3 linked regions of the Saccharomyces cerevisiae S288C genome follow. Changing the gene in region 3 together with the main gene of any one other region gives a genetic interaction. Each region holds a gene or a part of one and is shown on either strand. Other genes may lie near its edges.

Evidence for each region.
Region 1: mutations in FSH2 (region 3) and HAB1 together harm fitness more than expected from each alone (negative genetic interaction), as found in Saccharomyces cerevisiae (one large-scale study listed by BioGRID).
Region 2: mutations in FSH2 (region 3) and SHC1 together harm fitness more than expected from each alone (negative genetic interaction), as found in Saccharomyces cerevisiae (one large-scale study listed by BioGRID).

Annotation. Positions count from the first base shown.
Region 1 is NC_001134.8:770,801-774,856, reverse strand, and holds HAB1 (Hab1p), read right to left. Parts: upstream 936-4,056; coding exon 501-935; downstream 1-500. Other genes in the region: APE3 (aminopeptidase Y), read right to left, coding at 1-157; YBR284W (metallo-dependent hydrolase superfamily protein), read right to left, coding at 1,225-3,618.
Region 2 is NC_001137.3:348,564-353,736, reverse strand, and holds SHC1 (Shc1p), read right to left. Parts: upstream 2,040-5,173; coding exon 501-2,039; downstream 1-500. Other genes in the region: recombinase RAD51, read right to left, coding at 2,555-3,757; PUP3 (proteasome core particle subunit beta 3), read left to right, coding at 4,391-5,008. UniProt on the Saccharomyces cerevisiae protein: Required for the activation of chitin synthase III (CHS3) activity during the sporulation process.
Region 3 is NC_001145.3:715,138-717,916, reverse strand, and holds FSH2 (putative serine hydrolase), read left to right. Parts: upstream 1-1,607; coding exon 1,608-2,279; downstream 2,280-2,779. Other genes in the region: ubiquitin-specific protease UBP8, read right to left, coding at 1-1,202; FMP42 (Fmp42p), read left to right, coding at 2,472-2,779. UniProt on the Saccharomyces cerevisiae protein: Serine hydrolase of unknown specificity.

The DNA.
Region 1 (4,056 bases), on a different chromosome or scaffold from region 3:
CGGCAGAGCTATCATCGTCGTTTAATTGCGGAAGATAATTCTCAATTGGCTCTTCTTGTTGAAAGGCTTCCTGGAAGAATTGAGGAATGACATAGGCAGAGCCTAAATTGGTAGCGTAAAACGCAGCGACAGCCAATTGCTTCAAAGAAAAGTGCATGGTTGGCGTTTCTGTTTTTTTTTTTTTTTTGGCTTCTTCTACCAATTGTTGAAAGGCTGAACATGGTTTTGTTCCCATCCATTGTTCCTCGCTTTTATATTGAAAAAAGAAAAATTTTCCTAAGGACCCCTTCTTCCTGAGGGTTAATTTAAGGGAATTCAAAGTGTGTCAATAGTAATTAATAGAACTAATCAATATATTCAGTATAACTTTTATTATTAATAGTATATGATATTACTTTTTGAACTATATATTTATGGAAGCACAAAAACATAGAGAACACTCTTTCTGACGATAAGAAAGGTGATTATATCAAGATATATAATGAAGCAGCTCAATTGTCTTATTTCTTGTATCTCAAGTAGCTCCTTCTAGTGCTACACTTTAGTATTCTGCTTTGTTTATCATCGAACCTATCAAATTCCACGGAATCCTCTGGTGAATATGTGTTCTGGTGCCGTGTTGAGTTATCGTTATCCAATTTGTGTTCATTGGCGACAAGGCCCTTTTTCAGCTCATTCAAATCTATGCAATGATTATTAACGCCTTTCTTATCAATGGCAACCTTACCCAAATTGTTTCTGTTTCTAGTCAGGATTGTAGCCATTTCTCTATCTGAAATGTCCGCCTCCATGCTATCGTCAGTGGGGCTTTCTAAGGATTTTATGTTTATGAAACCATTGTTTTCATTGCAATAGATTATTTCAATGGGGGAAGGCTCTTGCTTTTTAAAGGAGAATAGACTATCAAAATATGAGAACCTAGAAAATATGGTCATTGTCAACTATAAGCGAGCTTAGAGATTTCGAATTGTTATGTTATAAATGGAGTGATAAGACTCTTGTTTGAGGCTTGGGCTTTTTGATTTATATTAAATTAAGATATGTAAAAAAAAAAATAAATTAAAAAACGTGTGTTCTATTTACAGTATCTACTTACTTATTTGTTTATATATTCCATTAGTTTACTTATCTTTATCCTTAACCTTTTTTTTTTGTGTGTGTGGGGAAGGGCGGTACATAATATTAGCGTCACAATATGCGCCCCTCGAAGAAACATGAGCGAATTCACGCAATTATGAGTCGCCACTCCCCTGCGAGAGTGCTACTGCGATATTGACGTCTGATGATCGGAACGTTATGCTCTAAACTTGTATTTGGTTTACAATCATACCACTTGTCTACAAACCCAGTGTTTTCCACGAAGTAGTCATGGCTGGCTAAGGAAACGCCGAGCCATTTGTTCTTTAGGGTACTTGAAAATCCACTGGTTATGACACTGTTTCTTAGAAGTTCGCATAAATCTGCTGAATGTAAACGGTATATACTAGCCGCTACACTATACTCTTCTATAATGGGTTCTTTCGTATACGAATTGTTGTAGAGGATAGATTCTGAGCTCAGCGATATCTTGAACCCCATTTCAAAAAACTTCATGAAAGGGTTCTTCTTATAAGGCTTTGAGGGCTCTAGGACAAGCCCCGTCGGGGCTTGTTCTTGCAGCATTGTAGGCTTTGAATCTACTATGGAATTCAAAGGCGCCACAACCATGGGAATTTGACTTAGATAGAAAAGATACACCAGTGATGGTGGTGCATTCCAGAGATTTTCTGCATTTAGAAACCCTCCACAGGCGAGCAAGAAATTGTTTAAAATAGCTTCCGTATGTTCTGTGAAGTTCAGTGTATTACTAAACTGTGAAGTTCGATTCATTGAGGTGGGAGAACATGAACTTCTCAAAGTGAAGGTATTTTGATGAAGGGCTTGGCGGATATGGTTCAATTTTGTTAGGTTGACGTAGACGTAATACATATATTGTGAAATGGTTGGATTATCACCGCCAGATGTCCAATCTTTTGGCAAGCAACTAACTGCTGTGAAGTTTTTCCAAATATAGTTGTCCGTATCTTGAATACATAGATCAATCGAAGATACTTGAGAAAGAAATTTCAAAAGAATAGGTCCTAATGACTTGTGTAGATAATTTTCGGCATTGAAAAGTGGTTTGAAGATTAGATTTAAATACTCCTGAAAATTCTTCACCTTGCCAGTATGATACAGTTCTGGATAAATTCTAGAAATGCGAATATTCCAGCGAATATTGTTAGAAAATATATTATAGTGGTTCAGCCAATTGGCAAAGACCATCCACCAATTGTCCACATCGGAATTATCGTAATGCAGATAAAATTGGAAGTCCACGGAGAGTTGACATAACTGATATTTCGACTCCTCTTGCGGTTTTATTAAAAACGTTTTCAGTAGTTCCGCTAAGTATTCACCATTAATATAGTTATCAAACTCCAAAAATGTTTTCGCAATCAAATAGTATCGAAGCTGCTTACCGTGTGAGCCTGTGTGTATTTCCATTTCATCGTTAACCAAATGATATTTTGCGAGATAAATAACTTTATACCACTCCAAAAATGAATCGTCAATAATTTTCAACCCATTGAAGAACTGACCGGTCTCCTCGAAATTCACTTTGAATAATTGGCTCAAGGTTATATGACTACCATTAAAAGCTTGATGGATAACCCTGTCCGGTTCTTTTCTCAACTTGGTCCAAATAAACTCAGTCAATTGCCACTGTGAGAAACAGCCGCTTAACAGAAGATTCAGATCAATCTTTCTACAGTTGTAAAAATCCTTGTGTGGCACCTTTTTGCTCTGTCTCATTTCTTCCTTGGAATGTAGGTGTTGAAAAACTGGAAACTTATTTACAAGATATTGTAATCTTTTTTCGCTAAACCTTGATAGGCTTCTATCTCTTATAATTTTCAAGCACCATTCAAAATCTTCCCTAAATTCTTTAAAAGTGGGGATATTAATCTGACTGTTGAACAATTCCGTCATATAATTACCATCCTGGAGGAGGTTTACAGTATTACTTTCCTCTAGATCAAGAAAGTGACGTATTCCAAATAATTTTTCTTTTACAGGTTTAAGATAACCCCCAGCCACTCTTGAATGAAGCTGCGGACATGACAAAGCATCTTGTTTACTTATAGTTAGATAATTTCGCCTTAACTTAGACATTTCCAACAGGCATTTGCGGTCTATGCGGAAATGTGTTTGCTCAAAGAAATAGCTAGGAAGGTGAGCCAAGGATGAATATGCTAGATCTTTTGTTTTTAAAGGTTCGACAGGAGGTGGCGTTTCTGCCGGCATCGCCATGGGTGAACCCATCTCCATCTGCATATCGAACTTCGTATTTAGTGGGACCATATCAAGATCATCCAAATGCAATACTACGTCAGTATTACTATCCTCGAAGATTTGAGCTCGAGGATTTCTTACTCGAGCTTGTGATGTAATTCCTACGTCCCCGTCGAAAGCTAAACCCTGATCCGACACAGCGTCATTTCCATCCAGGTCGTCCAAGCGTATTGGTGAAGTGGAAGGGCTCTCCTTATAAGAGTCGCATTCAACGAAAAAAACCGATTCATTGTTCTGTACCATTGTTTGTGTGATACCCTGATAAGTCCTCCTTTTCCTGTACTATTTACTAAAGATGTCGCCTGTCCTACTTATACTGTTTGTATCCACTGAACGCGGGCGCAAACTCTTTGCCACCCCCGTATTTAGCCGCCAACGATATTTTTGCGTCCAATGATAATAACCGTTGATAGTACCGAAACAACAGAGAACAACCATCATACACTCATGCCAAATTATAAGAACAGACACTGTTGAGACTGTTAACGATATTCTTTCATAACGTGAAACATAAAGTTGTTGAGATACCTTTCTTTTTATTGCTACCGGCCACTTTGAACTACATTACAAGTTATATTCGATTTGCAGCCATATATGTGACTTCAACTGCCCTGAATTGCTTTTCATAATGCATAAGGACTATCCTCGTCTTAGGTTTAATCATTCCTCTGTCTGTACTTA
Region 2 (5,173 bases), on a different chromosome or scaffold from region 3:
TCATTTGTGCCATTATAATGTAAGCGTTTGTTTTACAAGTGTTAGTGAAGGTACAATGTATGTTATTATTTTTTTTCTTCATCGTTTCTTTTCAAAAGGATGAGATTTTGTTTTAAAATATTACAGATTTCCGCACCAAAAAGTAAATATTATGAAAAAGACACATTAATTTCAACGCTGGGAAAGTAAATAAGTATAACGTCGTATATGATAGAACTAAGAAAGGCCGTGACTTAACTGGTCCATAGCCAATGCCACGGCATTAACGATAGTAGTGCTCAAATACATCTAAAAATGCAGCATATAGGATCTGCGCTAAATAACAGAAGGAGTTTAGTCAGGTTTATTTATTCGATATACAGCAAAGTAACAAATAGTAACGAAAGGTGTGAGGATCAGTCTATTTTTGATCAAACAAACTTCTAAAGTTAATCGAACTTCCACAGTTTGTGAAAAAAAAAACAACAAAATAAAAGGAAAACGAAGTTTGTATTTATCTATTAAATCAACTTTTTGGCTGCCACAGCTTCATGGGAGGTTTTATGATATTTCTGTGCCGAAGGAGGATGTCCTCGCGAAACAAACCCTCCACTTCTGCGAGCGTCTTCTAGTATTCTTGCCGATTCAGTATGCCCTAAAGCCGCCGCCTTCTCATACAATGCCATAGCATAATCTGGATCCGAAATGATAAGATCTTTATATCCCGTCATATAAATATTGGCTAATTCAAAAGGAGCACCACAAACAAAGCTGCTAGCCATAGATGTAGCCCTTCGCAACCATCTATAACCATCCATTTTGGTTAGAATATCATCTGGAAGACCCATCAAACCATGATACGAATATACTCCTAATTTGTACATTGCTGCAGGATGGTTCTTAGTTGCAGCAAAAGTCAAAAAGTTAACCGCCTTCGGTGCATTTCTGGTTACACCCAAGCCGCACTCATAGCAAATGGCAGTTCTGTAAACACTTTCGATGTGCATTCTTTTGGCTGCAGCGGAGAATAAAAGAAATGCTCTTCTATTCTTTATTTTACCGAAAACTCCAGAGGAGTAGGCGTCACCTAGAAGGTACTGTGCATCAGGGTATCCAACGGCACTTAGTTTCTTCAAAATAACTTTGGCATCGTTCACTAAATATTCCTTTAAAGAATCTACAGAGAAGCTATTGCTTTCATCCTCCAGTTCCTTAACAAGTTCGTGTAGTTTTTCGGTATCCAACCCTACCCTTAAAATGTATTGTGCATACTGAAAATTAGAATATATGTCTTGAGTTTTCTTAACTACCTCCCCGTACATTTCAATGGTTTTCCATCTTGGTAGCAAGCTCTTCTTGTTTTTCTTGCCAAGGTGAAATTTGGCCACATTATGTGATTCTGATGCAGTCACCTCATTTGTGAGGCAAAGACTATTGTAAACGTTAAAATCTAGTGACACATGTCTAGGAAGTGAAATGGAACTTGTACTTCTATTGATATCGTTTGAAGAGCCTGATCCGCTTGGATTATTCAAAAAGTCCAAATCATTCGATTGACTAAAAGACAGAGCGACAGATTCATTCTGAGAGGGAGGGGGCTCAGCGAAGTCGTGAAACTCGGAATTACCGTCTGCCGATGTGCCATTTAAAATTTCGGATGAAATTTCAGAAGCAATTTCAATTTCACAAGAACCTTGTGATTTTTCCTTCAGTGAGGAAGAAGCATCGTCCTCAACGTCGTTCTCAAACTCGTCCTGCTCAGGAAGAATCTTTCTTGTGGGAAAAGAGTTATATTTTTCAATCAATGAGGGCGAAGCGTCGATATCCATCGCATCCTCACCAATAGAGGATGAAATTTTTTCTTTATCATTTGTAAACACATCACCTGAGCGTGAAATATGAGATGAAACGGATGACCAGTATTGACGAACTTCTGGTTTATTCAATATCAGAGAGGAATCAGAGGAGAATCCGCTTGATTCCAACTGTTTATCAACCTCATTATAAGCTCCAATTTCAGGGTATGCACCAGGAGTATTTGAGCAAATAGTCATGGACATTATGGGTACTGCCTGATTTTAACAAAGGGATACTCGTAATGTCAACCGTACTTCTCTTGCTGTTAGCAAAAGTATTGTTCTATTCTTTTTTCCAAGTACAATTTTTTATTCAATTTAAAAACGTCGAAACGAAGACAAGGAAATTCATTGCCATAAAGAAGTGTATGGTATTTTACGTTGGTTTTATAAGAGGATGGCGACATATCAGAAAATTTTTCTCTTCACTCCCCTAAAAGGATAAAGCCGCGCGGACCCTGCAGGAGGAAGTAGTCATCGGGAAGAAGAGTAGAAAAATACATATATTTCATGGGTGACAGACAATACGAAAGTTATTTAAAAGAACTGAAAAAAAAGGTTAAGACCGCAGTAGGGTTGCGAGGTATATGACAAAATATATGCAAAAATCTAAGACAGTGGATGGAAATGAAGATAAAAATGTACGGAACGCAACCTAAGAAAAAGAGGAGAATTGAAAGTAAACCTGTGTAAATAAATAGAGACAAGAGACCAAATACCTACTCGTCTTCTTCTCTGGGGTCACCAACACCATCTTCATAGATCGCGAACACACATTCAGCCTCTGGTAAGCAAGGTGAGTCAACAACTTTGCATAATCTTTGACATCCCTTACCCTTTTTGAAACCTAATCGCGTGGTGGAAGAATGTGCCATAATATTACCACCGATAGGCTTCTTTGGATCTGGATTAAAAGCCATACCACCATCAACTTGGGCGACCACTTGGTTAGTAACGACGACTGCAACACCAAATTGGTCGGCCAGCCTTTGCAAAGCACGCATAAATTTGGCTAAATGCATTTGCCTTGCGCTTAGTTCACCACGACCAGAAAAATCCGTACGGTATAGAGCCATAACAGAATCGACCACAATCAAGGAAAACCGAGACTCGCTCATCATTTGGGCAGCAGCATCCAGAAGTCTTAACTGATGATCGGCGTTATAGGCTCTTGCATACGCAACGTTGTTCAAAGCATCATCCGGGTCTAATCCGAACCGCTGAGCTATGGATACCAATCTTACCGGCCTGAAAGTACCTTCGGTATCGATATACAAACACTTACCTTCACCGCCACCAATATCCAATGGAATTTGGCATGTCACGGCCAAAGTGTGACATAGCTGGGACTTACCTGTCCTGAATTCACCGAAAAGCTCAGTAATAGAACCAGTTTCCACACCACCACCCAAAAGAGTGTCCAAATTCTTAGAACCCGTTGTCAAACAAATCAGCTCCGATCTTCTCATATGAAAATCAGCAGCCGTGACAAATCCCATAGGCACTAGCCTTGCCGCTTCGTTTAGCAACTTATCTGCCTTAGCTTCCGATATACCTTTGATTTCCAATAAATCCTTTCTGGGAGCATATGCTACCGCTTCAGCAGTGTGAAGCCCACTCTCCCTTAGTTTTTTCACATCCGCCATAGTAATCCCGTTCACTTGCAGTTTTTCTATTGGCACAAACGAACCTAAGGCAGCTTCATCGTATGCTTCATCCTCCATTTCACCTTGCGCTTCCGCTTGCTCCTGCAATCCGCCACCATCGCCGGAGCCGTTGGTGGCCTCAATATCTTCGCTGCTACCGTTGCCGTTTCCATCAACGACTGACTGTGAAAGGTCTGCTGGTACAGTGGACATCAACGAACCGTTCCCGTACTGAAGCTGTGACTCTGATATATGTTGTTCTTGAACTTGAGACATATGACGATAACAAATTAGTAGGCCTTTAACAAATAACTACGTCTGCTCTTTGTCGCTACACTCAACTACTAGTATATGGAAACTACGGAAGATAGAAGAAGTAACTGAGAAAATTTTTTCTCCAGTCCCCACTATTCCCCTTTATGGTCCCACCACGCGTACTGTAAACAAACCAGGACAGAAATAGCGGAAATGACGCGTAGCATAGGGTAACGAAGTGTGGCCTAGTCGTGGGATATGGTGAGACGGTGATAAAACACTGATACAACCGGTTGGAATGCTCAGGGAATGCTCAAGAAGGCCACCTGTTGCAGGATAGCTAAACTAGATTGGTTGAAGAACGGTAGTGGTGCATTTCCAACATTTACCGTCCATTTTAATTTACTCTGTGACAATGATAAGCCAGATCGCTATTAACGTGGTGTAGTCATGTGACCGGATGGCACTGCCGGTGGCAAAAAAGTGCAAATGCAGGGGCGATGAAAAGAGAGGAAGAAAGAGTTTATGGCATAGTAGAAAGGCCAATTAAATCGGGAAGCTGCTAAGTAAGTTTGAACCGTAGTTTCGAAGTAGAGTGCGTTTCTTGCGAATTGTGGTGAAAATATTGAACAGTGAATAAAGCATAAAAAAAAAATGTCGGATCCAAGTTCTATTAACGGTGGTATCGTCGTTGCGATGACAGGTAAAGACTGTGTGGCCATTGCCTGTGATTTGCGTCTCGGAAGCCAGTCACTAGGTGTGTCGAACAAGTTTGAAAAAATCTTCCACTATGGGCATGTGTTCTTAGGGATTACCGGTCTGGCTACCGACGTGACTACTCTGAACGAGATGTTCCGCTACAAGACGAACCTATATAAGTTGAAGGAAGAAAGGGCCATTGAGCCTGAAACGTTTACCCAATTAGTGTCAAGTTCACTTTATGAAAGAAGATTCGGTCCATACTTTGTGGGGCCGGTGGTAGCAGGTATTAATTCCAAGTCCGGGAAGCCCTTTATTGCGGGATTCGACCTAATCGGCTGTATCGACGAGGCCAAGGATTTTATCGTTAGCGGTACTGCATCCGACCAACTGTTCGGTATGTGTGAGTCCCTGTACGAACCTAATCTAGAGCCAGAAGATCTTTTCGAAACTATAAGTCAGGCCCTACTGAATGCTGCTGACCGTGACGCTCTATCAGGCTGGGGAGCTGTAGTATACATCATCAAGAAGGATGAAGTGGTGAAGAGATACTTGAAGATGAGACAAGATTGATCGGTTCATGGCAATCTCATGGTCCCAAAAACAACCCCAACACAAAATATCAGCGGAACGTCAAGAATTTTCCACATCCAACTCATCTTTAATTTTTAAGTAAACAGAATAGATCGAATGAATATATAAATACTAAAATGCATAAAGTCAGTCGAAGATCTGAGT
Region 3 (2,779 bases):
GAATGCTTATCTTTTTCCTTCGTTGAACAGTAATTTTTCATATTTAAATAAGTTGGAAATTCAATAAAATCGTCTAGTTTTCTGTTACTTCCATTAAGTAGGTGTTCGAATCTTTTCAATTGCAAAACCAAAACCGATGGTAATTTGTGTATGCCTAGTTGCTTTATTGCATCTTGAGTGCTGTTACACTCCCCACAATGATAGTTGAAATCCTTCAACTGTTCTTTTTTATGGAAACTGTCAAGACATTCATAAAGTTTTTTCTTATCCTTGATATCCAGAGAAAGATCCAAGAATGGATCAATGGTTGTCTTTGAATTATTTTGACAGCCTGGACACACAATAGAACTTTCCAAGGAGCCCTCAAACACAGTATGCACTATGCATTCACACTGCTTATTATTTGCTCTGCTGACTTCCTTGGCATTTGGCAAATCAAGAACATAGCTTTGGTGGATTTGGTTAATTATAAACTGCCAAAATTCATGAGCATCTTGTTGTGAATACCCTGCTAGATTTTGATTGATTTTCCAGGCACAAGTTAAAAGATATATGAATCCGGTTTGCCGATTAGTAGATGTAGATGACGAAGAAGCTTGCTTTGTATTCAGCGCTCCATAAAGTTCATGAACAATTTTATCGAGTGCACATGAAAAACATTTATCTGGAGAACGCACTTTACAATTATTAGAATGAATTTGACTCATTGAGTGCCTAATAAAGTAAGGGTTATGGATTAGACATTGGAGAATACTACTCATGAAACAAGTGGATCCCATGTTGATCAGGCCAGAAAGCCCATCTCTTCTTTCCATGCTAGGAACCATGGTCTTTGTGCACACGTCGTCCCAATACTTCGCTAGGATAGCATCGTTAATCAGATCGATATTCCCTATATAGTCCTCACATTTGAAGCAAAATAAAAGGCCATTATTTGAGTTGATACCAAATATGTGACCAATCTGTTTACTGTGAGAGAGAAAATGCGAATGGTTCCAACATCCACAAAATCCACATTGTAGACACATGAAAGTTGCACCAGAGTTTATTTCGTGGCATGTACCACATTTCATGGTGTTTAAGAATTTTTCCTTGGGTACGGAATGATTTAATATATACCTGGCAGCATTGCACGTTTTTAGAACCCCATCTTTAGACTTTTCATTCTGAAATACTTGCTGTATATGTGGACAAATGCTCATAATTATTAATAACAAATAAAAAAAGCAGGGTTTCAAGTAGGACGACGAGGACCGAAGCTGTAGTTTTCCCTTTTGATCCGATCAATAAATAGTATTCAAAATTATGACAGCCAGTTGAAAGAAATGGACTAACTGGTCTCAAAAGAAAACCTTTATTATTATCCGTAAAATATCTTTTTAGAATTAATCAGGTCCACTAATATAATCCCTTTGCTATTACGACAGCTTTCTAGCCCATATACAATATAAATTATTGATGCTTTTTACACACTATAATCGAGGATTTTTTTTCACTTGAAAAATTCAAAGAAAAGCAAAAAAAGGAAGAATAGAGAAGAAAAAAAAGGTATAAGTGAAGAAAGAATGTGCAATACTACAAGACTATAAGATTTAATAGCTGTAACCATGACGAAGAATGTATTGATGTTACATGGGCTTGCGCAGTCAGGTGACTACTTTGCCTCTAAGACAAAGGGGTTTCGCGCCGAAATGGAAAAGTTAGGATATAAACTCTACTATCCAACAGCACCCAATGAATTTCCCCCAGCTGATGTTCCTGATTTCTTGGGTGAGGTAATTGCTGATGCACCTGGGGATGGTGAGAATACCGGTGTGCTTGCGTGGCTAGAGAATGACCCTTCCACCGGTGGCTATTTCATACCGCAGACGACAATCGACTATTTACACAATTATGTCCTTGAAAATGGTCCATTTGCAGGTATTGTAGGATTTAGTCAAGGAGCCGGTGTAGCTGGATACCTAGCAACGGATTTCAATGGTTTGTTGGGCCTTACAACAGAAGAACAGCCGCCGCTAGAATTTTTCATGGCGGTCAGTGGTTTCAGGTTCCAACCACAACAGTATCAAGAACAGTACGACCTGCATCCAATATCGGTCCCATCTCTACATGTTCAAGGAGAACTTGACACTATCACAGAGCCGGCCAAAGTGCAAGGCCTATATAACTCTTGTACGGAAGACTCTCGCACTTTACTAATGCACTCTGGGGGCCACTTTGTGCCGAACTCAAGAGGGTTTGTGAGAAAAGTGGCTCAATGGCTCCAGCAGTTGACCTGAGGCAAGTATATATAGCACGTAATCTTCACATAATCTTCACATACATATTTATACATGATTAAATCCTCCGGGTAATAATACGTCAAATTAACTTAACTACCGATACGATGCTTCATTATGATAACGATAACAATGGCATCTATAAATGATTTTATTCCTCGTTAGGCCAGTATTAGGGCAGTAAAGACTGTAATGACCAGTACAAGAACGTTGAGATACGCACAGGTTGCCTGTGCTTGTATCTGGTGTCTTTTTTCAGCTGGTATTATCTTTGGATTTGCTGCTTTGAAACCTATTTTAATTTCAGAAGGTGTATACCATGAATTGTGTGATCCTAAGGATGGTGATAGATTATTATGTACTGCACAGGATCTGAAATTAAATTTTATATTTGCTCTCAGTGCTACTGTAACAAACATCATGGCCCTTCCTGTCGGTAAGATTTTGGATATGTATGGACCTCGTGTCTGCGGAATAATAGGATCATGTCTCTTGTTCCT